Linked DNA regions of Rattus norvegicus. The protein of the gene in region 3 purifies or fractionates together with the protein of the main gene of each other region. This does not show direct contact. Links are inferred from orthologs where the notes say so. Each region holds a gene or a part of one and is shown on either strand. Other genes may lie near its edges.

The links.
Region 1: the proteins of Polr2f (region 3) and Rpap2 purify together in Homo sapiens (affinity purification with mass spectrometry; 4 studies listed by BioGRID and IntAct, with this or other methods). This does not show direct contact. The link is inferred for Rattus norvegicus from reciprocal best matches to the Homo sapiens genes POLR2F and RPAP2.
Region 2: the proteins of Polr2f (region 3) and Polr3k purify together in Homo sapiens (affinity purification with mass spectrometry; 5 studies listed by BioGRID and IntAct, with this or other methods). This does not show direct contact. The link is inferred for Rattus norvegicus from reciprocal best matches to the Homo sapiens genes POLR2F and POLR3K.
Region 4: the proteins of Polr2f (region 3) and Polr3b purify together in Homo sapiens (affinity purification with mass spectrometry; 5 studies listed by BioGRID and IntAct, with this or other methods). This does not show direct contact. The link is inferred for Rattus norvegicus from reciprocal best matches to the Homo sapiens genes POLR2F and POLR3B.
Region 5: the proteins of Polr2f (region 3) and Polr3e purify together in Homo sapiens (affinity purification with mass spectrometry; 4 studies listed by BioGRID and IntAct, with this or other methods). This does not show direct contact. The link is inferred for Rattus norvegicus from reciprocal best matches to the Homo sapiens genes POLR2F and POLR3E.
Region 6: the proteins of Polr2f (region 3) and Polr3g purify together in Homo sapiens (affinity purification with mass spectrometry; 3 studies listed by BioGRID and IntAct, with this or other methods). This does not show direct contact. The link is inferred for Rattus norvegicus from reciprocal best matches to the Homo sapiens genes POLR2F and POLR3G.
Region 7: the proteins of Polr2f (region 3) and Polr3d purify together in Homo sapiens (affinity purification with mass spectrometry; 5 studies listed by BioGRID and IntAct, with this or other methods). This does not show direct contact. The link is inferred for Rattus norvegicus from reciprocal best matches to the Homo sapiens genes POLR2F and POLR3D.

The regions. Positions count from the first base shown.
Region 1 is NC_086032.1:2,325,655-2,329,154, reverse strand, and holds part of Rpap2 (RNA polymerase II subunit B1 CTD phosphatase Rpap2), read left to right. Parts: intron 1-32; coding exon 33-147; intron 148-3,295; coding exon 3,296-3,394; intron 3,395-3,500.
Region 2 is NC_086021.1:189,358,849-189,363,148, forward strand, and holds the start of Polr3k (DNA-directed RNA polymerase III subunit RPC10), read left to right. Parts: upstream 1-1,500; 5' UTR 1,501-1,564; coding exon 1,565-1,675; exon of another isoform or gene 1,676-1,677; intron 1,678-2,884; coding exon 2,885-2,972; intron 2,973-4,300. UniProt on the Homo sapiens protein: Core component of RNA polymerase III (Pol III) which synthesizes small non-coding RNAs using the four ribonucleoside triphosphates as substrates. Can mediate Pol I proofreading of the nascent RNA transcript.
Region 3 is NC_086025.1:112,599,537-112,603,009, forward strand, and holds the end of Polr2f (DNA-directed RNA polymerases I, II, and III subunit RPABC2), read left to right. Parts: intron 1-2,597; coding exon 2,598-2,669; intron 2,670-2,841; coding exon 2,842-2,932; 3' UTR 2,933-2,973; downstream 2,974-3,473. UniProt on the Homo sapiens protein: DNA-dependent RNA polymerase catalyzes the transcription of DNA into RNA using the four ribonucleoside triphosphates as substrates.
Region 4 is NC_086025.1:20,939,634-20,943,133, forward strand, and holds part of Polr3b (DNA-directed RNA polymerase III subunit RPC2), read right to left. Parts: intron 2,887-3,500; coding exon 2,783-2,886; intron 2,318-2,782; coding exon 2,151-2,317; intron 1-2,150. UniProt on the Homo sapiens protein: Catalytic core component of RNA polymerase III (Pol III), a DNA-dependent RNA polymerase which synthesizes small non-coding RNAs using the four ribonucleoside triphosphates as substrates.
Region 5 is NC_086019.1:184,923,727-184,926,038, forward strand, and holds the end of Polr3e (DNA-directed RNA polymerase III subunit RPC5), read left to right. Parts: coding exon 1-85; intron 86-1,038; coding exon 1,039-1,095; 3' UTR 1,096-1,812; downstream 1,813-2,312. UniProt on the Homo sapiens protein: DNA-dependent RNA polymerase catalyzes the transcription of DNA into RNA using the four ribonucleoside triphosphates as substrates.
Region 6 is NC_086020.1:13,718,988-13,723,247, reverse strand, and holds the start of Polr3g (DNA-directed RNA polymerase III subunit RPC7), read left to right. Parts: upstream 1-1,460; 5' UTR 1,461-2,110; intron 2,111-4,260. Other genes in the region: acyl-coenzyme A thioesterase MBLAC2, read right to left, coding at 1,007-1,460. UniProt on the Homo sapiens protein: DNA-dependent RNA polymerase catalyzes the transcription of DNA into RNA using the four ribonucleoside triphosphates as substrates.
Region 7 is NC_086033.1:51,923,153-51,927,086, forward strand, and holds the start of Polr3d (DNA-directed RNA polymerase III subunit RPC4), read right to left. Parts: upstream 2,801-3,934; 5' UTR 2,759-2,800; exon of another isoform or gene 2,708-2,758; intron 2,540-2,707; 5' UTR 2,535-2,539; coding exon 2,370-2,534; intron 1,801-2,369; coding exon 1,757-1,800; intron 816-1,756; coding exon 664-815; intron 528-663; coding exon 403-527; intron 145-402; coding exon 1-144. UniProt on the Homo sapiens protein: DNA-dependent RNA polymerase catalyzes the transcription of DNA into RNA using the four ribonucleoside triphosphates as substrates.

The DNA.
Region 1 (3,500 bases), on a different chromosome or scaffold from region 3:
TTAACTGGTTAACCTTCTCATTAAAATTTCAGACAAGCGGAACTGGAAGCTGCCCTGCAAAGGAAGGTGGAGTCTGAGAGGAGAGCTGTACGCCTCGTAGAGCAGCTCCTGGAGGAGAACATCACAGAAGAATTCCTGAAGGAGTGTGTACGTACCAAGTTGTCAGATTACCAGATTTAAAGTATAAATCTGTATTTAAAGACTCCTTTGTGTATATGAGCATTGTACTTGCTTGACAGCTTGACAAACAGAGGAACAAAGTGCAGGCAAGTCAGACACACAGAGGAAAAAGCCTCTGCTGAGGAAAGGCCTCCGTGAGATCCAGCCGTAAGCCATGTTCTCAATAAGTGATCAATGCGGGAGGACCCATCCTGTGCTGGGTGCTTCCATCCCTGGACTGTGGTCCTGGGTTCTACAAGAGAGCAGGTTGAGCAAGCCATGGGGCAGTGAGCCAGTAAGCAGCACTCCACCATGGCCTCTGCATCAGCTCCTGCCTCCAGGGTCCTGCCCTGCTTGAGTTCCTGTCCTGATTTCCTTTGGTGATGAGCAGCGATGTGGAAAGGCAAGCAGGATAAACCATGTTCTTCCCCGTTTGCTTTTTGGTCATGGTGTTTCATCGCAGCAATGGTAACCCTGACTAGAGCAAGTCGATGCCACAGTGCTGCATTGCTCTGACAGACCTGACATGTTTTGGGGAGGACTGGGGAAGGACTTTGGAACTTTGGACTAGGGGAGCCATTGAGTGTTGAGAGCTCAGTGGGATGTTCAGTGAGAGCTTGGAAGATAAGAATGCTGAGAACAGTGCAGAAGATAAGAGGCCTGACTTGTGAAGTTTTAAGTCTTGGACCATTTGCTATTTTGGATTACGATTCTGTGGTTCTGGTCGGCTGGGGCTACAGCGCCAGCTGTGATTAACAAGAGACCAGAACTGCTAAGTTGAAACCTTTGCTCTGCTGGGATACTTGATGTTGGTCAGCTGGAGCTGAGGAATCAGTGGTGATTAAGAAAAGGCCAACATTATTGAGGTGAAATCTTCTGGGAAGTGTTTCCTGAGAGCACAGAGAAGCTGTGTCCATAGGTGACTGCGGTTGTCCCTTGTCCTGGCAGCCAGACTTGGTTACATGTAAGAGTCACCCAGGTGGTACTGGTTTTGAAGGCATGAAGGGGTCATAGAGAGCAGCTGAGGCTGGGCAGGAGAAGCCATGAAAAGCCACTGGTGAAGATGCAGCCCAAGACTGAAGGGACCATGCAAAGAGGTTGAGGATTGGCACCAGGAGAGAGCCTAGGAGAGGCTATTGGTGAAAGTGCATCTCAGTTGCAGCTGAAGACCCCAGTGTTTCGGAGGTGCAGGGACTATGGGAAGACCACCACGGACAGCAGCAGCAGTGGCGGGGAGCCAGCCAGAACTCAGAAGGCAAGCTGTGTGTGCTGCAGAGAGCAGAGCTGGAGAAGTGACCCAAGCCCTTTGGAAGAGCCCAGAAGATTGTGAATGGATCCCAGACATTGGACAGTTGGAGTCTGATTTTTTTTTTGATTTGTGACTGTGCTCTGATTTTCCTTCTTGGAGTAAGAAAGTTATTTTACTGGATGGAGCCCACAGTATTTAACTTGGAGACTTTGAATTTTAAAAGACTTTGGATTTTTAGAGAGATTGGATATTTTTAAGGGACTGACATCTTAATGTGCTTTAATTTGTAAAGACTGTGGGACTTTAAAAGTTATTTTTTTTTAAAGATTTATTCATTTATTATATATAAGTACACTGTACCTGTCTTCAGATACACCAGAAGAGGGCATCGGATCTCTCTACAGATGGTTGTGAGCCACCATGTGGTTGCTGGGAATTGAACTCAGGACCTCTGGAAGAGCAGTTGGGGCTCTTAACCTCTGAGCCATCTCTCCAACCCTATTTATGTTTTTAATGTGAGATCTTGGGAATGGGTAAGAAAGGAAGGATTATAGCTTAACAGTGATCTGTCTGTGTGTCAAGTTGACAAGGGTCAGTTGTCCTGGCTGGTTTTGTGTGTCAATGTGACACAAGCTAGAGTCATCAGAGAGGAAGGAGCCTCAGTTGAGGAAATAATTCCATCAGGTCCAGCTGTAAGGCATTTTCTCAGTTAGTGACCAACAGGGGAGGGCCCAGCCCATGGTGGGAGGAGCCGTCCCTGTGCTGTGGTCCTGGTTCTACAAGAAAGCAGGCTGAGCAAGCCAGTAAGCAGCACCCCTCCATGGCCTCTGCACCAGCTCCTGCCTTCAGGTTCCTGCTCTGCTTGAGTTCCTGCCTGACTTCATTTGGAGCAGCAATGTGGAAATGCAAGCAGGATAAACCTTTTTCTATTTGGTCATGGTATTTCACAGCAATAGAAACCCTAACTAAAACAAGTGTCTTCTATGTATGTGCACTAGGAGTGTTCATTCAGTGCCCATAGTCCAGAAGTGGGCGTTAGATCCCTTGGAACTGACATTATAGCTGGTTGTGATCTGCACAACATGAGTGCCAGGAACCAAACTGAGGACCTCTGCAGGGCAGCGCATGCTCTTAATTATTGAACTGTTTCTCCAGCTCCATTTTTTTTTTTTTTTTTTTTGGTTCTTTTTTTCGGAGCTGGGGACCGAACCCAGGGCCTTGTGCTTCCTAGGTAAGCGCTCTAACCACTGAGCTAAATCCCCAGCCCCCAGCTCCATTTTTTTTAATATGTTTGTATAGCACATATGAATGCATGGCACATGTGAATGCATACCTGTAGAGTCCAAAAGAGAGCACCATTTCTTCAGGAGCTGGAGTTACCAGCAGTTGTGAACAACATGACATGGGTGATTGGGAACCAAACTCAGGGTCTCTCGCAGAGCAGTAAGCATTCCTAAACACTGAACCATCTCTCCAGCCCCCAAATCTAATGTGTTTTAAGTCTATGCAAAATAAAACTTTGCACTATTGAAATCTTAGTCCTTAGACACAGATAACATGATGCATGAGAATACAGGAAGGTATGGCTATAGTCCATGTAGTGCATTTTTAAGTTTCTTTGCATCTGGTTAGTGAAGGCACCATTCATGCCATGACCCCCATCTGACACAGCATGCACGTGGAAGTCAGAAGGCAACTTTATGAACTCAGTTCTGTCCTGCCCTCGTGCAACGCAGAAGTGGCAGCAGGCACTTTAGCCCTCAGAGCCATCTTGTCAGAAGTGTTTAAAATCAGTGTTACAGTATAGACACTTCTTGATGTGCTTTTCCTTCCTGTGCTCCCAGAACTCTCACAGTCTTTGGGAAATGCCCTTTGGTTTCTCCCCAGGGGATGTTCATCACACCGGCTCACTACAGCGACGTTGTGGATGAGCGGGCCATCATTAAACTCTGTGGCTATCCTTTATGTCAGAAGAAGCTAGGGGTTGTAAGTACTTTTCTTCATAAAGTGCATTTATTAATTTTTACAAAACATCATAGAAATAGTAAGTGAAGCCTGTGGTCATGAACTAGTAATAACTTCGATTGGCCAA
Region 2 (4,300 bases), on a different chromosome or scaffold from region 3:
TTTTCTGGATCATCCTGTGAGGGATGTTGTTGAAGTCCTGTTCTGGGCATGGGTTGTAGTTTGCATTCTTCACACTTCTGTCAAGAATCCTTGCAAAGATAATGATGGGTCTCCCACCTGTACTGAGCTGCTTCTCAGTTCCTAGTAAAATAATGATCAGAGCCCCTAAATTATCCCCCCAAGAATCCCTCAAAGAAACATGCAGAGTTAACCAACAGAGACTTGAGCTGGGGCTCCATGCTTTAGCCTCTTCACCTGCAAATATTTGGGAACAAGGAGACACAAGTGACTAGGAAAAGTGTGCATGTGTTGCGCATGGGCCTCCAGAATCTACATGGTAGACCTCAGGCTATTACTGGAATACCTACCATCCAGCTGTTTTAGATCAGCTCTTCAGGACTAAGGTTGGAAGCTGGAGGTTCATTGTTGCAGGCTTTTTCTTTATCATACCATGAACTCTGGGATTGTGTTTACTGGAAAAACCTGTTTCTAGTTGTGGTGTGACTCGGCCCTTGGCACACAACCTTTAATCCCGCTGGCTGGAATACAGACACGCCCTTAGAATGCTCCTTTAATGCCCAACAATGAAGGTCAGGTTAGATTGTAGAAGGTATCACCCATATTTGAAAATGATGTCTAGGGCTGGAGATATGGCTCAGTGGTTCACTGACTGTTCTTCCAGAAGTCCTGAGTTCAAATCCCAGTAACCACATCTCATCTCGTCTGTAATGAGATCTGATGCCCTCTTCTGGTGTGTCTGAGGATAGCTACAGTGTACTTTAAATAAATAAATCATTTTTTTTAAAAGTGATGTTTGAGTGTCCGACAAAGTGGGGAATTAGAGAGTTTTTTTTTTGTTTTTTTTGTTTTGTTTTGTTTTGTTTTTTTGTACAGAATAGGGTATGCCCAACTCTCATGAGAGAGAAGGAGGCAGTTTTCCTGGGACAGTTTTTACAGAGAACAAACTAGACACAGATGAAGACAGAATGTGCCAGAAGATTAGAACAGATTGTCAAAGTTAGTATGAGGCCAAGCAGAGCAATTGAGGAAAGGCTGAGAGAGAGAAGCCAAATTCAATCAGTTTGAGCCGGAACAGCTGAGTTGAACCAGCCAACCAGCGCTCAGAACTAGAAGGGGTGCGCTTATTCCGCAGTGAGTCTCAGAAGCTGAAAACCTTCTAGGCCTGAATTAGATTTTACAGAGGGTAGAAGTTTCCAGGCCTAGATACTGCAGCTCAGCAGCACCTCATCACCCAGTCCGGCTCACCACCATCAGGCTCCCCAGGTGCTGCCATCTGCCGGCACCATTAGTTTGCGTTTCAGCTAGGGAGATGTGCGCACGCGCAGAAGCTACACGGACAGCGAGTGCAGACAGCATGCAATTGGCTGGATGGGGAAGGGTCATCGGCGGTGACCAATGGCATGCGCGAGGCTGCCCGCCGCAGTGCCTACCGGGAACGTGTTGCCGATCGCCGGTTGCCCGTAACGGAGGAAGGGAGACGGCTTCAGATTGGGCGCCTGAACCTCGGCAGCGCCACACAGAGCCGCCGTGTGGGAGCTGAGCAATGCTGCTGTTCTGCCCGGGCTGCGGGAACGGCCTCATTGTGGAGGAGGGGCAGCGCTGTCACCGCTTCGCCTGCAACACGTGCCCGTACGTCCATAACATCACCCGCAAGGTGAGGTCCACAGGCCGGAGCTCTCCCTGCGGTCCGCGGGGCCCAGGGCAGGCGTCGGCGCGCTCGGACCTCCCCGCTGCCCGCTCAGAAATTGTGCGAATTTTAGTTCATCCCCCTACGCTGGACCTCGCAGATTCCAGTCCGCTCCTCACCTCTGATTTCAAATCCTCGGGTTCTTTAGTTGCTCGTTTGCTCCCATCCCCTATCTTGATTCCTGAGAATCTTCTTGCACGCAGTGCTGTCAGGTTCTTCCCTCCGCCCGAGTCGGTCTTCCCTGAATAACTACGCAGAGTGACGCACTTCTCGTTCTCGTCTCCCTCTTCCCCCGTCTCTGGTGCATGTGTGCCTCCCTGTTTCTCTCTCCCTCTCCTCTTTTAAAATAATGGCTGCCTTATTTAAATGTCAGCCCGTGCGGCTGTTTGTGCACCTATAATTCTAGCACTCGGCAGGAGAATAGGTTCAAGGCTCATCTGGGCTGCATAGCACACACAGAGCACAGAAAAGCCAAACCCAGTTCTTTCTGTTTATCCTCATTCCCTTAAGGTTTTCACAGAATTCATTGTCTTCTAATGTTTTATATCGTTGTTGCTACTTTGTGTGTGTAGTGCTTGTGTTGGAACCCAGCAAGCTGTGTTTCCAGCCCTCGGTGTTTTGTGTACCTTAATTCCCGTTCCTCTTTACCTCCGTGCCTTAGTTCAGTGACTGCAGTTGTGCAGCACTGGGCCTTGGTGACTCCTCGTTCCTAATGTTTGCACATTAGAGCTGTGTGGTAGGGGTTTAGAGTCAGGATTTGTGGTAAGATGAATTGTGACAGAATTTCTAATTTCCAGGGATGCCTGATAAACATAGGAAAGCATCCAAATGTGACCTGGGGTGCTGGTATACCCAGCTAAGTGACTTCATTTGTCTGTCTTTCCTGTTGGATTATTAGGTGTCCTAGGGGTATGAGAGAAGAGCAAGGTTTTACTAGGCTGTTTTTTCCTTTCAGTTCTGTCTGGTGTTTCCTTCGGTCTCTAGAGGTCTGAACCTCTAGAACCTCTGTTCTGTTTGGAGGAACATCCGAGTCACAAAACCCCTACATTTTAGTGACTCACACTGCTCTTTGAAGAAGACAAATTTTGTAGAGGAAATGCTGGAGGGAGTTGTGGCTTAGTGACCGACTTGTAAAACTGTACAATTACTTCCAATCTGGTGGCTTGTGTCTGTTAGGTAACAAACCGAAAGTATCCAAAGCTAAAAGAAGTGGATGATGTGCTTGGTGGAGCAGCTGCCTGGGAGAATGTGGACTCTACTGCAGGTGAGGATTTTCCCGTAACAGAGCCAGTGACTCAACCTTGTTTGTTATTACTTATTATTATATTTTATATTTATATTGTTTCGCTAGTTTGTGTGTGTGGTGCTTGTGTTGGAACCCAGAAAGCTGTATTTCCAGCCCTCGGTGTTTAATACTAATAATAAACTTAGTATTATAATGCAGTCCTGTCTGTTATTAGGGCCAGCAAGATACCCTGGTAAAAGCACTTGTTGCCAGATCTGTTAGCCTGAGTTTGATTCTTGGAGCCCAGATAGTAGGAGAGAACTGACTCATGGGAAGATTTTGTACCACCCTCCATGCACACATGGGCGTGCACAAGTGTAAAAGAACTTAAGAAGATGTAAATAACAATGTAATATCAAATAGCTAGTGCATGAAATATTTTGGTGATGTGTTTTAATTACAGTGTAGGCACTCTAAAGTCTTTTACATTTTTGTTGTTGTTAATTGATTTTGTTTTTTTGAGACCTGGTTTCACTGTGTAGCTCTGAGTGTCTTGACCTCGGAGATCCACCTGTCTGCCTCCCACATGCTGGTACTAAAGTATCTGCCACTGACACCTGGCTGTAATAACATTTTTTTAAAAGTAGATTCTTTCAAGGATTCTTTAAAGCAAAGTTACTATAGTGATACCTGAACCGTTGTTTCATTTAGAGTCTCAAGTCCGATGTGGACAAGTATAATTAAAAAATAAATCTGGCAAATATTCTCTTTTTGAAGCAAATTTAGAGTTCATTACAAAAAATTTCAGCATTGATTTATATATAGTTGTTGGGAAGGGGGGATCCATGCTCTAGTGGGTGTGGACTTCTCATGAAAATTGTGTTGTATGTATTTTCAAATACCAACACTGAGAAAATGATCAGCCCTAGTCTTTTATTTTCATTTCGTTTTATTTTTTATTACATGGATTTAAAAAAATTATAACTGTGGACGAAGGATGGTTGCTCAAGCTTATGATTCCAGTTACGATTCTGGTGCTCTCTGAGTGGAGGCAGAAGGCTCAGTGCTTATCTGGGCTTTTTGAGACCCTGGCTCAGCCATTCTGTCAACCGATAAATAGCTGTGGGGTAGGATTTCAGTGGTTGAGAGCATGGGACTGGGTTTCCTTCCCAACTTCCACCTGGCAGCTCAGACCTTCTGTACTTGTACTTTCAGGTGATCTAATACCCTCTACTTGCATCCAGGGACACTGCATGAACGTGGTGCACAGACTACCCAAAGGCAAAACATGCACATAAAATAATTATAAAAAATTAGGGGGGGGGGTTGATATTTGCAACTGGAGGTATTAAAAAGTAAATGTTTAC
Region 3 (3,473 bases):
TCACAGGAGTGAGGCGTCCTGACAACTCAGTCTAAGCCAACTGGATGGTCATACTCTGTGGGAGTAAGATGGATCCTGCTTAGTCCGGGCTTTAGTGTTCCTTCCCCTAGGGAGCCCATGCCCTCTGTTCAAGCACAGCCAGGCTGGATTCTGTACACTGAGGCCTGGGCTGTACCTTTGCTTAGGGGCTGAATGAAATGCCATCTTGGATAGCTTTTGGCGAGTCCAGTCTGGCCTGCGTGCGCCACCTGCTGGCTGATGTCACTCACCTCATCTTCACTGGATGATGGTGACATGTTTATTTTAGTAGCTGCAGCACAAGACAGTCACTTCAAAGCCTGCGCTTGCATGTCTGTGGGGCACTGATGAGCGATGCCCTTCAGTTACTGCTGTGATGTGAGGAGAGAGTGGACACGGCCGGTCAGGTCAATGGTTACTTATGTAAAGCACTCTGTGTATGTATGGCAAACTAAACAGGACCTTACATGTTTTACTGCTGAGCTATACGTCAAGTTTTGGGGACATTTCATTATGTCAGAAAAGACATTTGGTTTCTGCTCTTTGGAAAATTTCAGGATTTTAGGATTAGCAGAGACCAGAATATTTAGTCACAAACTAATAAATGTCAGTCTCAAGGTGGTCCCCAGAGTCACCCAGGTACCTCTGAAGGTATAATTCTCAGACCCCCTCATGAGCTGAGGGATTCTGTCTGGATCAGCAGTTAAGAGCACTTGGTGCTCTTGTATCCAGTGTCCTCCAAAGGCACTGGAAACCTCCATGTAAGCAAAACACCCATACACATAAGAAAATCATTGGTCTTTTATGGCCTGGAGAAGGCACTGGCCCTTGATTTTGGATGCTTGTTCGTAAGTCTGAATCTATTGGCGTCAGGCTGTCCAGGGTTATTAGAAGCGTCTGTCTGCAGGAGACAGGCCTGGAGTTGATGTGCCCTTGTTTGCCATTGGAAGTTTTGCTTGGACCAAGCATTAGCTGGGGCCTGGGCCCTCATAGTGGATCATGTGTGGTTCTGGGCCACCAGACAGATGTTCATAGTCTGGTGTGGACAGTAGTATGGTGGCTTTGATGCCAAGAAACGCATGTTTAACTCACCGGGGGCACAGAAGACAGATTCCCAAGGCTCAATGGTTGAGAGCACAGACTGCTCTTCCAGAGGTCCTGAGTTCAATTCCCAGCAACCACGTGGCAGCTCACAACCATCTGTAATGGGATCCGATGGGACACTCTTCTGGTGTGTCTGAAGAGAGCAACAGAGTGCTCACATAAAAAAAAAAAAAATTAAGTATATCTTTAAATAAAAAAAAGGAGACAGAGGTGGGTGAGGACAGAGAGTAGAAATGAAAGGGATCTGTGCCTGTTGTCCATGTTGTGACAGAAGTCCAGAGGACAGGCTTCTGGCTTAGTACATTTGGCTCACAGTCCTGGAGCTTAGAAGGTTCAAGAACATGGCAACTCACCTGTGGGGCCTCAAGCTGCATCGTAATATGGCAGAGTGCTGTTATTTGGTAGAACTGAGCAACCTTGCTAGCTTGGATTTCTCTTCCTTTAATAAAGCCACTTAGGCTATCATGGTGGTCACACCTTTGTGGCTTTCTTTCTTTTTTTTTTTTTTTTTAATTTTTTTTTTTTATTTATTTATTATATATAAGTACACTGTAGCTGTCTTCAGACACACCAGAATAGGGCATCGGATCTCATTATAGATGGTTGTGAACCACCATATGGTTGCTGGGATTTGAACTCAGGACCTCTGGAAGAGCAGACAGTGCTCTTAACCACTGAGCCATCTCTCCAGCCCCTTTGTGGCTTTCTAAGAGCTCCTTCTCCAATACCGTCGTCATCTTAATTTGGGGGACACTTAACCATAACCTAGGGGAGGCATGGAAGTTTGTTCTGGCTTGAATGAGGGGCCAGGCTGGAAGAGTGTCACTCTTCTGGGGGTGTTGCTATGCAGGGCCTTCTCTGATGGGGTATGACATGCAGATGACTTCAGTATGTTACCTGGGACATATCCCAGCACAGTGGTGAGGAGCAGACCTTGGCTCTGCCTCTCTGCCTACGTGACCTGGGGCAGGACACCTTTTATATTGGATAGTTTATGTATTTACATTTCAAATGTTATCCCTTCTATGAAGATGTTCCCACTCCCACCGCAACACCCTGGCATTCCTGTACACTAGAGCTTCACCTTTCTGTACCTAGTTTCCATGATAGTAAAGTGGAAGTCAAAGTAGGCCTCTCCCACTGAGGCAGAGGTCATGGCAGGTAGCTGTCAGTGTCTGGCGTGCAGAGCCTGTCTGCTATCTGGTTTTTGTCATTGTTTCCCCAGTGAGGTAGGGATCTCTTCTTCAATTTTAGAAGAGGCTGTTGGGATGTGGAGAGAAATTCGGTGACTTGTGCTTACAGGCACAGTTTAAATCCAGTCTGCCAGCCTTCCCTCTGCTCAGTGGTGGCTCCCTGAACACTGCTGCCACCAGGCCTGCCTGTCCAGGTGACCTTGCTAGATGAGGATCAGGACAGCAGATCCACCTTCTCTGAGCCTTGTCTGCTGTCTCTCCAATCTTTCTCTGTCTCTGCAGGATGTGTGCCCCAGTAATGGTGGAGCTGGAGGGGGAGACAGACCCTTTGCTCATCGCCATGAAGGAACTCAAGTAAGTCTGCCCCTCCTTCAGAGTATCTCGGGCCTCTTTAGACCTGTGGCTCATGCATGGCCAGCCCCCGGGAGCCAAGGGAGGGCATTTCTGTGACACGTGCTACTACCACCTGTTCTCTGCTGGGAGCCAGGGCACCAGCTCTCACTTCATTCGACTTCTCCCCACACAGGGCCCGGAAGATCCCCATCATCATTCGCCGTTACCTGCCAGATGGAAGCTATGAGGATTGGGGCGTGGATGAGCTCATCATCAGCGACTGAGCAGAGCTGTCAGGCTGTGCCAGGCACCATCTCTATGCCCATTTTATACATGTAAATAATAAACTTCACTCTTCACACCCCCTCTGCCCCTGTTGCCTGCATGCTGACACCTGCTGCTTTCTTGTTCCTGCCCTACTACAGGATGGGCATACATTGAGGTGACCCTGTGACTGTTAGCTCTTTCTAAAGCACCAGGGCCCCCATCCCATCCCTCCATCTCTCCCCATGCACCAGAGCAAAAGCTGCTGCAGGGAGACACCTCAGCTGCCTTCTCAGCAGACAGATGAGTCTTTGTGCCCAGGGAGCTGGTTGCCACGGAAACCCCCAATTTCCTTTCCAGTGGGGACTGGCTGCAGGGGCTTCTCCCTTCTCAGGAGTATCACAGAGCAGGTTTCATCAAGCCAGCCATTGTTCCTAGGGACCTGCCTTGAGCTCTTATCGAGGACTCAGATCCCCTTTCAGGAGCGGTGCTTTAGCAGGAAGCGTGGGGGTGCAGTGATCCCCCACTGTCCCCAGGCAGAGCCCTGTTGGGCAAGGCAGC
Region 4 (3,500 bases), about 92 Mb from region 3:
ATCTGCACAAGCACTGGATCCATATTTCCAGCAGAAACGGGTTGCGGGCAGGCGCTCTCCCTTCTGGAGCACTTCTTCATAGTAATACATTAAGCACCATGTCCTCGCCCATGCTCCAGCGTGACCCTGAGGTCTTAATACAAAGGTTCACTCACTCACTCCCTCGCTCACTCATTTACCTACTCATTCACTCACTCACTCGCTCGCTCACTCATTTACCTACTCATTCACTCACTCATTACTCACTCACTCATTCACTCACTCATTACTCACTCACTCATTCACTCACTCAGTTGCTCGCTCACTCACTCGCTCGCTCACTCACTCATTCACCTATTCACTCATTCACTCACTCACTCACTCTCAGTCAGTCACTCACTCACTCGCTTGCTCACTCATTCACTCCTCACTCACTCACTCATTCACTCACTCGCTCGCTCACTCACTCATTCACTCACTCACTCATTCACTCACTCACCCACTCACTCAGTTGCTCACTCACTCACTCATTCACTCACTCATTCACTCACTCATTCACTCACTCATTCATTCACTCACTCATTCACTCACTCATTCACTCACTCATTCATTCACTCACTCATTCACTCACTCATTCACTCACTCACTCATTCACTCACTCACTCATTCACTCACTCACTCATTCACTCACTCACTCACTCACTCACTCATTCACCCACTCACTCACTCAGTTGCTCACTCACTCACTCTCTCAGTCACTCAGTCACTCACTCGCTCGCTCACTCACTCACTCCTCACTCACTCACTCTGTGTGCGCACGGGCGAGTGCCTACATGTCCATGGTTGGAGGCCAGAAGGTGTTGGATCCCAAACTTGGGTCCTGTGGAGCAGCAGCCAGTGTTTTTAACCGCTGAGCTCTGTCTCCGCCCCCTGGGTATTTTATGTGTCACAGGGTTCCATACAGACCATTTGATCGTACATTCTATGTGGGCTGTTTCAAGACCTCGTCATCCACAGTAGTTGCATGGACTTGTGTCCTTCAAAGATGGCAGCTAGACCCTTCGCCCTGTCTTGTCCAACCTCACCTCAGGCTGTACAGCTACCTCCTTCTGGAATAACAGTTGGGTGGGCACCTACCAGTTCTTGGGGTCTACTCAGTAAGTGTACTTTCCTCTGTGCAACACTCTGAAGGGCACAGCTTTTGTCCCTCCATGTCTTACACACTCTCTCCTCCTCCTCCTCGTCTTCATGACTGAGCGCTGGTTCTCAGATTTGCCTGCCGGGCATTACTGAAGCTGTGCTGTGAGGTGCTGTGGTAGGCTGTGGAGACCGAGCAGTAGACACAGCATGGCAGCCTGCTCTCACGGAGGCTATGTCTCAGCTGGGAGACAGACAGCAGTATCTGAGGACCGACGGCTATGGAGAGCAGTGGGGCAGAGACAGGCAGCACCAGAGCGGAGTTGAATTGGGTAGTCAGTGGGCAGAGGTGAGGCTCAGTCATGGCGTGCTTCTAAGCATGCATGAAGCCCTGGAATCAATCCTCGGCAACACAGAACAAAAACAAAAACCTCAAAGCCAAACCAAACCAGACAACCACCTGCTTGGCAGGCAGTCACTGAAGGCCTGCTGGAAATCACCTTGTGTTTGCTACTATTCCACGTCCAATAACAAATCGAATTGGCCAGCTCTGTGGTTTTATTTACTGCAGTCCCTTCGATATGTAGCACATATTAGATGTGAGCACCGGGCTCCAGGGTATGAAACCAAGCACTGTCTCTGGTGCTCCACACAAATCTAGCAGTCTGGGAAACACTGCATCAGATGCAGTTAACGTAGTCCACAAAAGCAACGCAGAAATCCAAGCTTGTTAAAATGACAGTCCTGGGGGCTGGGGATTTAGCTCAGTGGTAGAGCGCTTACCTAGGAAGCGCAAGGCCCTGGATTCGGTCCCCAGCTCCGAAAAAAAAAAAAAAAAAAATGACAGTCCTACCACACAACTAGTGGTCCTCAATATCTGGCTTCTTAAATGTGGCCTTTCTTGGATCAGGTTTCCTAAAGCAGCGAGGCTTCGTTCCTTCCCACTAAGGCAGTCTGGGAATGTTATACCTCATTGGCCCGCTTCTTCAGGCCCTCACCTCCGATCTCTAGCATTTGTTTAGCAGCACACTCACCCGGTGATGCCCGAGGTGACATAGTCCTTCCCCAGGTAGTTGTAACCATGGCGAACGAGGTCTTCACACACGTCCTTCACTTTACTCCCTCCAAAGGCGGTGCCGTAGTGGAACCTGCCGTCTAACACGCCTGCCTTGCCGGCCAGCAACTCAATCAACTTTCCAACCTGTGAGACAGGAAGGGGACAGACTACGTGAGTGCCCGCCCGGCTGTCAGTTCTCCCAGCATCCCTGCCTTTGGCTTATGTTTTGAAAAAGCAGCTTCAACCACACCCAGCGATAGTGAAACATTACCAACACCAGCATTCCTGGGTATCCTGCCGAAGAACCCTGGCCTGTGGGACTAACTTCCCGGACTGAATTCCCTAGTTTTCAGATATTGAAACTCAAGTACAGAGCTAAGCACTGTGGCCACGGCCCCTTGGCCTGCGACAGGATTGCAGATTACAGGAAGTGACTGCTCAAAGAGACATGGAGGTAGGCTCAGCACACAGGACTCTGTGTCCCAGAGGACAGTGAGGGACAGGGCAAGGAGTCCGTTTATCCGTCAGGGGGCCACTCAGTGTAACTAAACTAACTGCCTGCTTCTTTCCCTCAGAGCAGTGCTGCTAAAAAGCCCAAAGGTGACTGACCGTCATTCTCGATGGGAAGCCGTGAGGGTTCATTATGATGTCGGGACAGATGCCAGAGTCACAGAACGGCATGTCTTCTTGGGGGACGATCAGGCCGCAGACACCTGGGGGACAGGAGATTTCACAGCACGGGAAGCAAATGGGCAGGAGGGAAGAACACAGTACTTAATTGGGATCTCCCTGCTGCTGTTTCTATTCCCACTGTTCTGAAACCCTCCCCATGGCCTCCATCAAGAGCAACAAAAGCAATTTCCAACAACCCTGCTAGCCAAGCAGTTCAAAACGACTCTCCTTGCAGAAAAGCATTGTAGGCCGCCGAGTGGCATGCTGGCATGGCACACAATGGTGCGGTGCTGCTGTCAGGCCGCCTGCCTACCTTCCCTGAGCACCACGAAGACCAAAGGGCAGGCTCGAGCCGGCTCTCGTCCCGGAAGCTTTTCAATCCACAGTTTCTGCTTCTTGTCAGCGAGGTTGTGGTCTGCTGGGTTTTGTGCCCAAACCACAGGAATGCAAATTCTCAAACCACCAACAAAGAATGATTGAATACAACTAAATGTGTAAAATGTGGATTTAAACCAGGACAACAAACCTTTGTGTGGGCTGCAGAGACAGTTCAGTGGTTAGCTGGCTGCTCTTCCAAAGGACCCGAGTTCGGTTCCCAGCACCCACATGGCAGCTCACAACTGTCTGTAACTCTGGTTCCAGGGGAATCTAACAT
Region 5 (2,312 bases), on a different chromosome or scaffold from region 3:
AGTACGTCGGAATATGATCCAGTCTCGGCTGACTCAAGAATGTGGAGAAGAGCTAAGCAAGCAGGAGGTGGATAAAGTGCTAAAGGTATGTCCATTGTGCACAAGATGTCACGCAGAGCATCTAGGCTGTGACTTTGACCTGTTGTTTTAAGGACACACATACGTGGAAAGGTTGTGTCTGGTATCTTTGTTCCCGCTGTGTATATAGTAAATCAGAACAGCTTAGCCCTAGTGCCCACCAGTCTGATGGCCATCAACTGGCAGTGACTAGCACTGGTACCCTGGCAGGAAAGTGAGCCTTTTCATGCCGCAGAGTTGGACTGGGTATGAGGAGGTGTACATCATCTTGCACCCACTTGTATAATTGACAGTACAATCTTTTTTTTAATTTTAATTAAAAAAGGAATACTGGGGGTTGGGGATTTAGCTCAGTGGTAGAGCGCTTGCTAGGCTGGGTTTGGTCCCCAGCTCCGAAAAAAAAGAAAAAAAAAAAAAAAGGGATACTGCCTGGCACTGGTGGCGCACACCTTTAATCCCAGCACTCAGGAGGCAGAGGCAGGCAGATCTGAGTTTGAGGCCAGGCTGATCTACAGAGTGAGTTGCAGGACAGCCAGGGCTACAGAGAGAAACCGTGCCTCCAAACAACAACGACAAAGAGGAGTTTCTGTTTGCTTAATGTGAAAACACTTTGAATGCTCTCATGAACTGTGTGCATTGTAGAGGTGGGCACAGAAAGCCACTGCCCCATTCCCTGTTACCTTTAGTCATGTAGACAATAGGCCTTATTAATATGTCCCTTGTCGTAGTCAACTTGAAAAGTTTTTTTCTGTTGATACAGCAAAATCTGTAACACATCTTAAAATGTCCCTGAGGTATGGTGGCTGGAAACCCGATAGGGTCAAAGCGGCTACCCAACAGCACACTTAGGCAGGTTTTGATGTCCTGTTTGCACTCTGTCCGCTAATCGTGAGTCAGGCTGTGACAGCAATAGCTCTCTCCTGCCGGAACCTGCCCTTACCCAGTTTTCTTAATTTCTAGGACTGTTGTGTAAGCTGTGGTGGCATGTGGTACCTTAAGGGGACAGTACAATCCTGACAATAGTAGCAAACCACTAACTCAACGAACCCAAGCCCAGGGAAGGACGGCAGAGCCACACGTAGTCTCGACTTGCCTCAAGACACAGGAAGAGGATCTGCCCACCTGGTGGCCTGTGGCACTGCCTGGCCCAGAGGACAGAGGGGCTCACACTCAGCCAGTGGCAGGGTCAGCGTAAGTGAGATCGCTCCCAACAGAGACCAGCCGGGCCTTCTTTGCAGTACAATTTGAAATTCCTGATGTATTTTGCTTATTGGGTTTCATTCTCATAATAAAGAGAGTGTACACTGACATGGGCAGGATTATGAAAATCATGGTTTAATATTTTCCTCTTTTAAATGAATGCCAACATAGTTAAAGTTATGTTTACAAGATGAAGAGAACCTTAAGGTTTTTAATATTTAAAATGCCTAGAAGCTAATAATTAGTCTTAGAGTTTCTCTCTGCTAAGACTTCTGCCAATTTTATTAAACCAAATTGAACATTTTACTGTTGGGTTTCTAAGGCCACTTTACCTTATACAGCAGCCTGCTTTCTGTAGCGGTCTCAACTGTTTACACAGACCATAGCAAACATTCTATTAACTCCATCGTCTCCTACTGTTTGCATAAAGGTGCAAATGGAACCAGGTAAGTGTGGAACAGTGTGTAAGCGAGGTTATCACTTTGATGTAAAAAAAATTATATTTTGTGTATTTTTAAAATAAATGCTAACACTAAACTGGCATCATGGTGCTGCTGTCCTCAAATAGTTGCAGGAAGAAAATGTCCTCTGTGCTGTCTAAGCATTCAGTACAGAGAGAGAAGGGAGACCATGACGCCATCACACCAGGTGATACTCACTTTGACCTTGCAAGGTTGGTCTGAAGACTGGTCTGCTCACACTGCTGAGGCCGCCACACACACAGGGACAGTCACAGAGTGGCCTTAGCTCGCTGCAGACTTGCAAGCGGAAGGGAAGGAGGATGGAAAGTGAACACCAGCTTCTTAAGTAGGGAAGGGAGCTAGTACTCCTCCTGTGGGAATGTGAGAGCTGACTAACCTTGAAGGTTTTAGTACTTACATTAAAATAGTTTTAAAAGTAGATATTAATGTACTTCAGGCCCAAATATTTTAAATCAAAATGTAATAAAGGTTTTTTTTTACCTAAGTCTTCAGAATGTGGTATTTTACACTTCTAAACCCCTCAGAGCCATGATTTACATGCCGGATTGCCAA
Region 6 (4,260 bases), on a different chromosome or scaffold from region 3:
AGATGTAGCAGACCTGCAGCTCAGTCTCCACAGCTGCCTTGTCTGGCCTCAGTGAGACAGGATGCACCTAATCTGGCAGAGACTTGATGTGCTGGGGGTGGGGGAAGGGATACCCAGGGGGCCTCCACCCTCCCAGAAGGGGAGACGGGATGAGGGAGTCTCTGTGAGGGAGGGAGCAGGAGGGGGGAGTAGCTTTTGGGATGTAAATAAATAAATCCTAAGGCAAAAAATATAAAATTGATATACCAAGTATTGCTGTTGTCGCTAACCAGTTCAATTAGTGCAGTCCTGCATGGGGAGAAGGGGATTGGGACCCTACTCTATCTTGCTCCATTTTATCAATTTCTTAGGACCAAGAGAATGAAGTCTGCATTAATTAATGCACACACTTTATCCATGGGAAACAACTCCCTTATTGATCGTTCTTAGGCCTCGCTCTCATCCAGACCAGATAGCTGTCATAATTCTACGTTCATGTCCACCATCAAGCCTTTTTTCTTTTTGAGAGGCAATAAGCAAACAAATCCATCTGAAAGGTAAGGATGGACGAAAGCTCTCTAAGTCTACAGGTGAGACTGAGGCACTCTGCGGTGAGCAGTGCGCAGGCAGCAGAAGTCAGCAGTTTTCAGAGCACAGAGCCTAACACTCTCCACAAGGTGCCATATCTTAAAAGCCTACTCGTTACAAAAGCTGGAAATGTTCAACTGGTACTTGGGAAAAGAATGGAATATCTCCAGTCACAAGTCTCTGCAGTGTAACTACCGTAGCCGACTGACTGGGGATGGTGTGAGCTTTCAAATAAACAGCCACACAGTAGCAGCGCGCATCTCCTGGCAGAGAAGACTGAGTGGGCCTAGGCTCTGCCCAAGCTGGCTTTCACGCAGCAAAGGGTGAGTCAGAGTATTCCCGCACGGTAGCCCAACAGTGCCACGGAGGTCTGCAACAAGCTGTACACGCTCGCCAAGCCCCTCCCTCAGAGACAGCGCGCGCCCCCGGGACCTATTACCATCCTGCAGAATGAGGGTGGGTTGCACTGCCTGCACTCGGAATTGCCTGGCCCTCCAGCCAGGGCTGGGCGCCCGCACCACCTCGCTGTCAGAGAGCCAGGTCACGGTCTCAAAGTTGTCCCCGCGAGCCAGGGCCTCGGCTTCGGCGCGGTGCACAGCCACCTGGTCGAACTGATAGAGCCCGCCGGAGTGATCAAAGTGCACGTGGGTGGCCACGGCCAGCAGCGGCCGACGTCCTGCATCCTCTTTGGCACCACAATCCTGCAAGAGGCCGGAGGAGTAGAGGTACTCCGGGAGGCTGCGTAGCCCCAGGCCCGTGTCGATCACCACGTCCTGCTCCGAGCCGCGCACCAGCCAGATGTTGGCCCGGTTGCCTGACTCGTAGAACCGTTCTTGAATCCAGAAGATGCCATCGCCCAGAGACTTGTGGGCATACCACTCGAGTGCCGACATGCCGATGCGCAGGGGTGCGGCCGGGCAAGGTGGGTGTGCCTCCCACAGGCAGTCCAGGACTCGCCGCTGCTGCAGTGAGCGAAGAGCTACTCTCAGCTCCGGAGGAGGCGCGATCGAGGGGCGGGGATGCGGAAGGGAGCGCGGATAGGACGCAGCGACACTGCCCAGATCGCCTGTTCCTCGCCCTCCCGTCCAAGCCGCAGAGCGCAAAGACTGCACCCCAGCTGCCGCAGCTTCTGCAGCTGCAGCACCAAGGCGGTGACACAGGCCGCTGAAGCGGGGCGGAGACACCGGGCAATGCTGCCCTGCTCGGGGTTCCGACTGCAGAGGCCTGGAGGGATGCGTGGGAAGAGACAGGACCGCCCCCACACGGGCCGCGGGCGCTGCGCACTCGTAGCGGGAGGCCAGAGTGAGGCCGAGCCAGTTGGAGGTTGACTACGGCGCCTGCCAAGGGCTAAAAAGCTCCTTTCCGGGGGTGTGGCCTCGTAGAGTGGGCGGGGCTTCCAGTGCGCTACCCTGAGCCGGAGCCGCGTGCGGTGAGGTTCTCGCTGTTCCGGAGGTGGAATCTGCTGCTCCTTGCTGGCGCGACTGCCAGCTTTCCTGCCACCATCGCTGCACAGTGTGCCCAAGCCTCGAGACTTGGTGAGAAGGTAACTGGAAACTATCCCGGACTGGGCTGGAGGTGAAGAGGGTAGAAGGGAGTTGATGGGGCACGTGGAGAACGTGGTGGTCCGATAATCTGGAGCCAAAATTCATCAAAGCCCCTCTGGAGTGACTTTGGGCTGTACCCCTACCTCCCAAAGCCTGCTGCTGCCGGCTTCCAAACCTTTAAAAGTTTTGGTAGCCAGATCTTCCAGCCTCACGCTGGAAGTTTATCCTTTTACAAGAGAAGACTTTGCAAATCCGGGGACTGTGGTTTTTGTTCATGTAAAGTTTGGCGGCAGTTTGGCTAATAAGGGCATACTTATCATCGCTTCTTTTTTCTTAACTGTTGGCACCTTTGATAGTGGGGAGAGGGGCTGGTGATAGAATTTTTCTTTAAGGAGATCCTAAATGCCCGTCATAGTTCTGGGTGTTTCCTTGCTCTTTGAAGAGAGCAGAAAAGGTTAGAGCTTAAGGCAAGGCAGAGATCACTTTGAGGGGACAGGGAAAGTGGATAATCACTGGGTGTGGCCTTGCAAGCAACCGAAATCACCCCCACTGTCAGTATCAAGTCCCTGTGCTTGCACCCCAACCATTAGCTACCGATGCATCTCTTTCAGATTCAGAAATTCCCTTGAGAATTTGACTAACCTTCAGAAATTATAAAGAGACCCACGGGGACAGCATTATCAAAGATAATTAGCAAAATCCTTCCTGTGGCACATAAGTCTTTCCTGGAGGGAGAGATGCATTCTTCCTACACTCCCAAACTCTCCAGTGGGTGTGGGAGCAGGTCGCTGCTCTTTTGAGTATTTTGCTAATCTCATCTATTATTCAATTATGCAATTGGGACCATTCTTAGCACTAGTGCCTGAACTAAATGATGTGTGACAAGCAGAAAACTGTTTAAAGAAAAGTCTGATTTGAGTTCTCAAGAATCTGAGGAAGCTGACACTTGTACACAAATACTTGTTAACTAATGCATCATGAATGCAAAAATTGGGTTCTGCCTAAGAAGGTGTTCTCCACAGAGAAACACAGTGCCCTCTTTACTTTATGCTTCTGCGGCAGAAGGGAGGCACTCGGTAAGATGGCACAGTGTTGTTCTGTGGTCATGAGCTCAGAAATAATTCAGTGATGATTATCCAGCTTGTGCCTAGCTCTAGAGGCCTTTGGACCTACAGTTTCTGATGACTCTTTTATTCTTTTCAATATGACTCTGTTTCTCATCTTAATTAAATTTATGCTCAGATAGTCCCAAATGACTAGTTTATCTGGCCTGGTTCCTGCTTCACTTTCACACCATCTGTCAGGCTCTGACAGGTTCTCCTGTCCGTGAACTCCATAAGCGCAGAGACATTATTTTGTTCACCTCTCTATTTCCAGCAGAGAGGATGGTTTGACCCAGAGGTAGGGTTAGGGTTAGGGCTTCATAAAGACGCCAGTGGATGGTCAAAGACTCTCCCTGGGGAGGCAGAAAACCAACAGTCAGTTACTTGGTGAGAAGCAGAAGTTAAATGTCCTGAGCTTTGTTAAACTGAAGAGAACAGTATATCGGAAGTGTAAAGATTTGCCTTCTATTAAATTGACAAGAGTTTGGTTGAGAATGATAGGAATCTGGACATAAAATGTCTAGCATGTTTCAAAGGGTCAGATGAGCAATGCTAAGGCCTGAGCTAATGCAGAAGAAAGGAGAAGACTAGGGAACACACAGCTAATGGTCATTCTTCAGAGAGATACTGTGACCTGGCTTTTGCTGTCTCCCCTGACCTCCAGCTAGTTGAACATTTACTCATCTCCTTAAATGTGTAAGGTTGTGTGTACACGAGGATGATACATTTAAGTCACAATCATAACTCATGACATTTTAGATCTAGGAAGAATTGTAGAGATGAACTCACCATTTTCCAGGTGGTTGTGTTTGGAGATGGTTAGGATAGACTTTGGTCTCTTGAATAACGCCCATTTTTAAATCTCTTGGAACAGATTCCAAATGGGAATTTTGAGGCAGCGTTCTGAGCTGGAAGGGGCAGTGCGAACTTGTCCATGTTGCATTTTAAATTTCAGATTTGGGGGCTGGAAAGATGGCTTAGCAACAAAGAGCTCATGTTACTCTTGTAGGGGATCAGAGTTCAGTTCCTAACAACCACACCAAGTG
Region 7 (3,934 bases), on a different chromosome or scaffold from region 3:
CATGTCTTCTTCCTTGGGGCCAGCAGAAAAAGGCTTAACGTCTGGCTCTTCACTCTCCTCCTTGAAAAGCCACCCTGAATGAGCCAGTGGCAGTTGTACTGGCATGTTCCGTGTGTCATTCTTTAGCCCTGGGTCATCGATGAACTGCCAAAGAGTGGGGGGGTCACATTAAATGTCAGCATGTGTGCCTATGTCACAGCCCATTTCAGGACCTGTCACTCCCTCTCCTTTGTGTGTATATGTCTCACACATGGAGGCAAGCAGTCTTTCCACGGAGCTGCATCCCCAGCCCCACCTTAGTGCTCCTGTGACCAAAAGCCCAAAGATGTCCCTGGCCTGGCTTCCTAAAAGCCCTTGTTAGCAGATACAAAGAAACCGGTCCCCCAGGCTGCTGGAACCTACATCATCCTTCTCCAGCATGCGCAAGATCTGCTTGGTTTCTTCATCTGTTTCTCTCTTCTCTTTTTTGATGTTGATGATATGAGAAGGCCCCATGTCTGACATATCCACAGTCTTATCCCAGTTCCCTGCAGGAAATCATGCCGTTCACTAGGGTTAAATCAGGGGGACAGCAACAGCAAGGGAAACCAAGCTAGGAAAGGAGAATCCCATGTTCTGCTTTCTCAGGTGGTCTGACCCGCAATCCAGATCCCTTCCTGGTACCTTTTTTTTTCATCATTTCTGCTGGACCCTGCTCAAAGATGGAATGGGACTGGATCACTTCTGGGCGGCCACGTCCCCGTCCATGACCCTCACGCTGGCGGTCTCTGTCCCGTTCACGCTTTTCCTTCTTCATAGTTACTTCTTCCTTTGGCCTGGGGATGAGGACAGATATAAGGGTCTGCCTCAGGAAACAAACCCTCCTCACCCACCTCATTTCAACCAACTGAGCAGCGTTTGCAAGCCAGAAAAGAGACCATGAGAATCACAAGCCAACCCTTTGTTACACCTGCTGTTACACCTGCTGTTACACCTGTTGTTACACCTGTTGTTACACCTGTTACATCTGATAAAGCACGGCCTTTAATTTCCTCTCACTTTACCTCCTTGTCCAAAATGTGGGCTTTCTGTCCTGTTTTTGCCTGGAAGTAGAAAGACTGGAAAGCAGAGGAACTTAAGAGGAGTATGAAGAGCTTTGCTCCACCTCAGCAGAATTAGGAGGAAGCTGAGGTGGAACCTACTGGGTGGTTGTCCAGCTCCTGAAGGAGGACAGAAACTCAGCCCTTTCCTCTCCTTGACTTCTTTCTCCCCTTGGGTATTCTCTGACACCAGCTCACTGCCATACCATAGACCCAAAAGCATAGAACCACCTCATCACAGACTTAAACCTCCAAAGCTTGGACGTCCAAAATGAAATGCCCCTCTCTGTAAGTTGATATCTCAGCTATTCATTGCAGTCAGACAAACAGATGGATGGATTGACAGACAGGCAGGCCCTCTAATGCAAAGTGCCTCAGAGCCAGGCATGGTATACACCCTAATCCCAGGGCTCAGGACATAGATCTGAGAGGCAAGCAGATCCCTGGGAGTTCTAGGCCAGCAATCTACACAGTGAGTTCCAGGATATGAAAGGCCATGTAGAGAAGCACTGTCTCAAAAGCAAACATATCTCTACATAACCTGGGATTAAAGCATGAGATCCACTGGTGAATAAGCCAATGGCAAAAAGTTAAAATTCCCAGGCTGCACACCTAATTACTTCCTCAAACTCAGAGCAAAAGAGGGTGAGTGGTGTTCATTAATCCTATGTACTTACTCTTCTTTGATCTTCCGACTGATGATATTTGGGGTGAAGGTTTTCTGAAAAGTAAAATACAGTACTGTATTTTCGCAGTGCTCAACAGACCAACAATTCTGGGAAGGCTTGGAGAGACAGATCTGCCAGCACTGACAAATGGATGACACAGGGAGACTACCGTAGCTTTATCCTGTTTGTTCTGCTTTCTTTTCAGAGTACTCTTATATCTACTGTTATGCACATAATGGGAGAGGACAAAGAGCAGTTAGTTACCTGCATGCCTAAGATTCATTCATCACCACTAGATTATTTGCTTCCTTACTGACATCCACAGAGTTATGAACACTCTACCAAGTAAAGCAATTTTGTCTGACTTTCATGGGAGTTTGTAAGGTGCCCATAACATAATAAGCACTTCCGAATGTCTTGAATTAACTAGGTTCTCTGCCTTTTAATTGCCTATGAAACCATGTCAATGTCTTGTACCAGCACCTAGGCTTGAAGGTCTCTCGCTAGAGGCTGACATCCCATCAGGGACAAATGGCCGTATATGAATGAACATCACGAATTGCCTCCCTTCGGCCTGGAACTCAAAGCATTTGGGTTTCTGTACAAATACACTCGCCGGTACCTTCTTGACACCGCCAAGGGTGAGGTCCCGAGAGCGGATGGAGGGAAGGCGGCCTGGCGTAAGCGGGGGAGCGGGCCGCCGGCCCACAAGTCCCCGGCCCCCAGAGAGAAGGGGTCGGGGCCCTCCAGGATTGCTGGGCTCGCCCGCGGCGTTTCCTTCCGACATGGTTCCTAGAGGAAAGTAGGCAACAAAGTGACTCCAAGGGCTGGATGCGAAGACCCTGGGCGGAACCCCACCCACGTAATCCCCCTCTGTACCCCCCCCCCGTCCGTGCGTCGTTCCCGCTGCACCACAGCTCCTCCCAGTCCCACGTGGCGAGGTTTCCCGGAGCGCCCCACCTCTAGCTTTGGACTCGTCACATGCCCTCTCCCCGGGACTGCATGACGTACCTGCGTTGAGGCTCTACGCCGAGTTTCACGACCTCACCTCTAACGAGACCAACCACCGGCCGCCGGTCTCACGGCAAGGCGGAAGTCTGCGTGGCAAGAACCGGGGGCTGCCATCTTACCCTAGGGCGGAAGTGACATCAAGGGGGCGTGATCGGACCATAGTATTTATCAGACGGTGCCTCGCTGTCCTCCGCCTTCTCTTCCCGGTTCTTCCCGGAGTCGGGAAAAGCTGGGTTGAGAGGGCGAAAAAGGATATGGGAGTGGATTCTGAACTGTGCGGGGGTGTGACTCGTGGGGGTGTGTCTCTGCTCCTGGATGACAGTGCTAGTGCGGTCCACAGGGTCGGGGGGGCCTCCTAGGTCGCCTACCTGCTGTACGGGGTGTACTGCGCAGCCTCTGTGAACAGTGAGGTCGGCTCTCGGGATGCATCTCCGGACATAGGGAGCCTTGCCCTCAGGCCGAGGCTGGCTGCAGCTTCCCTGCATTGACCTTGGAGTGGTCACTGTACCTTCGGGCTTGTCCCTTTGCTCGTGAGCGCCTTCCTTTGCGGATCCCTGAGGTCCTAACGCAGTTTGGACAGAGCAGCCAATAGCTCTTTGCCTATCTGGGTTCATGATTGCTTAGTCAAATCTGGAAAGAGCCTGGAACTGAAGTTTGCTCTTAAAGTGGGAGTTTTTGTTTTTTGTTTTTTTTTGGTTGGGAGTGTGTGTGTGTAGTGTGTGTTTTTAAGACAACACTACTCTTGTAACCCTATCAAGTCTGGAACTTAAGTAGACCAGGCTGGCCTCGAACTTGGCAGCAGTCCTGTCTCTTCACAGACACCCCTCAGGGCACAGATTACAGATGTGCACCACCAATCCCAGCTTAAAAAAATTTTATTGTAATGGATGTATACATTTAATATATACAAATATATATAACTTAATCTGTGGGGAAAAAGTCATTTAATGTTACACCACAGAGATCCCCAATACGAATTAAAAACATTATGTAGTTCTAGGGAAGGAACCTATTTCTGCTAGAATTCCATAGACTGCTAGCATTAAAATATTAGTGATGTACTGTAACATTGTGCCACACAATACTGTATCCTTTGTTGGAAACAAATGACCAATAGGAGTATATATGTATATATATGTGTGTGTGTGTGTGTATATATATATATATATGTATATA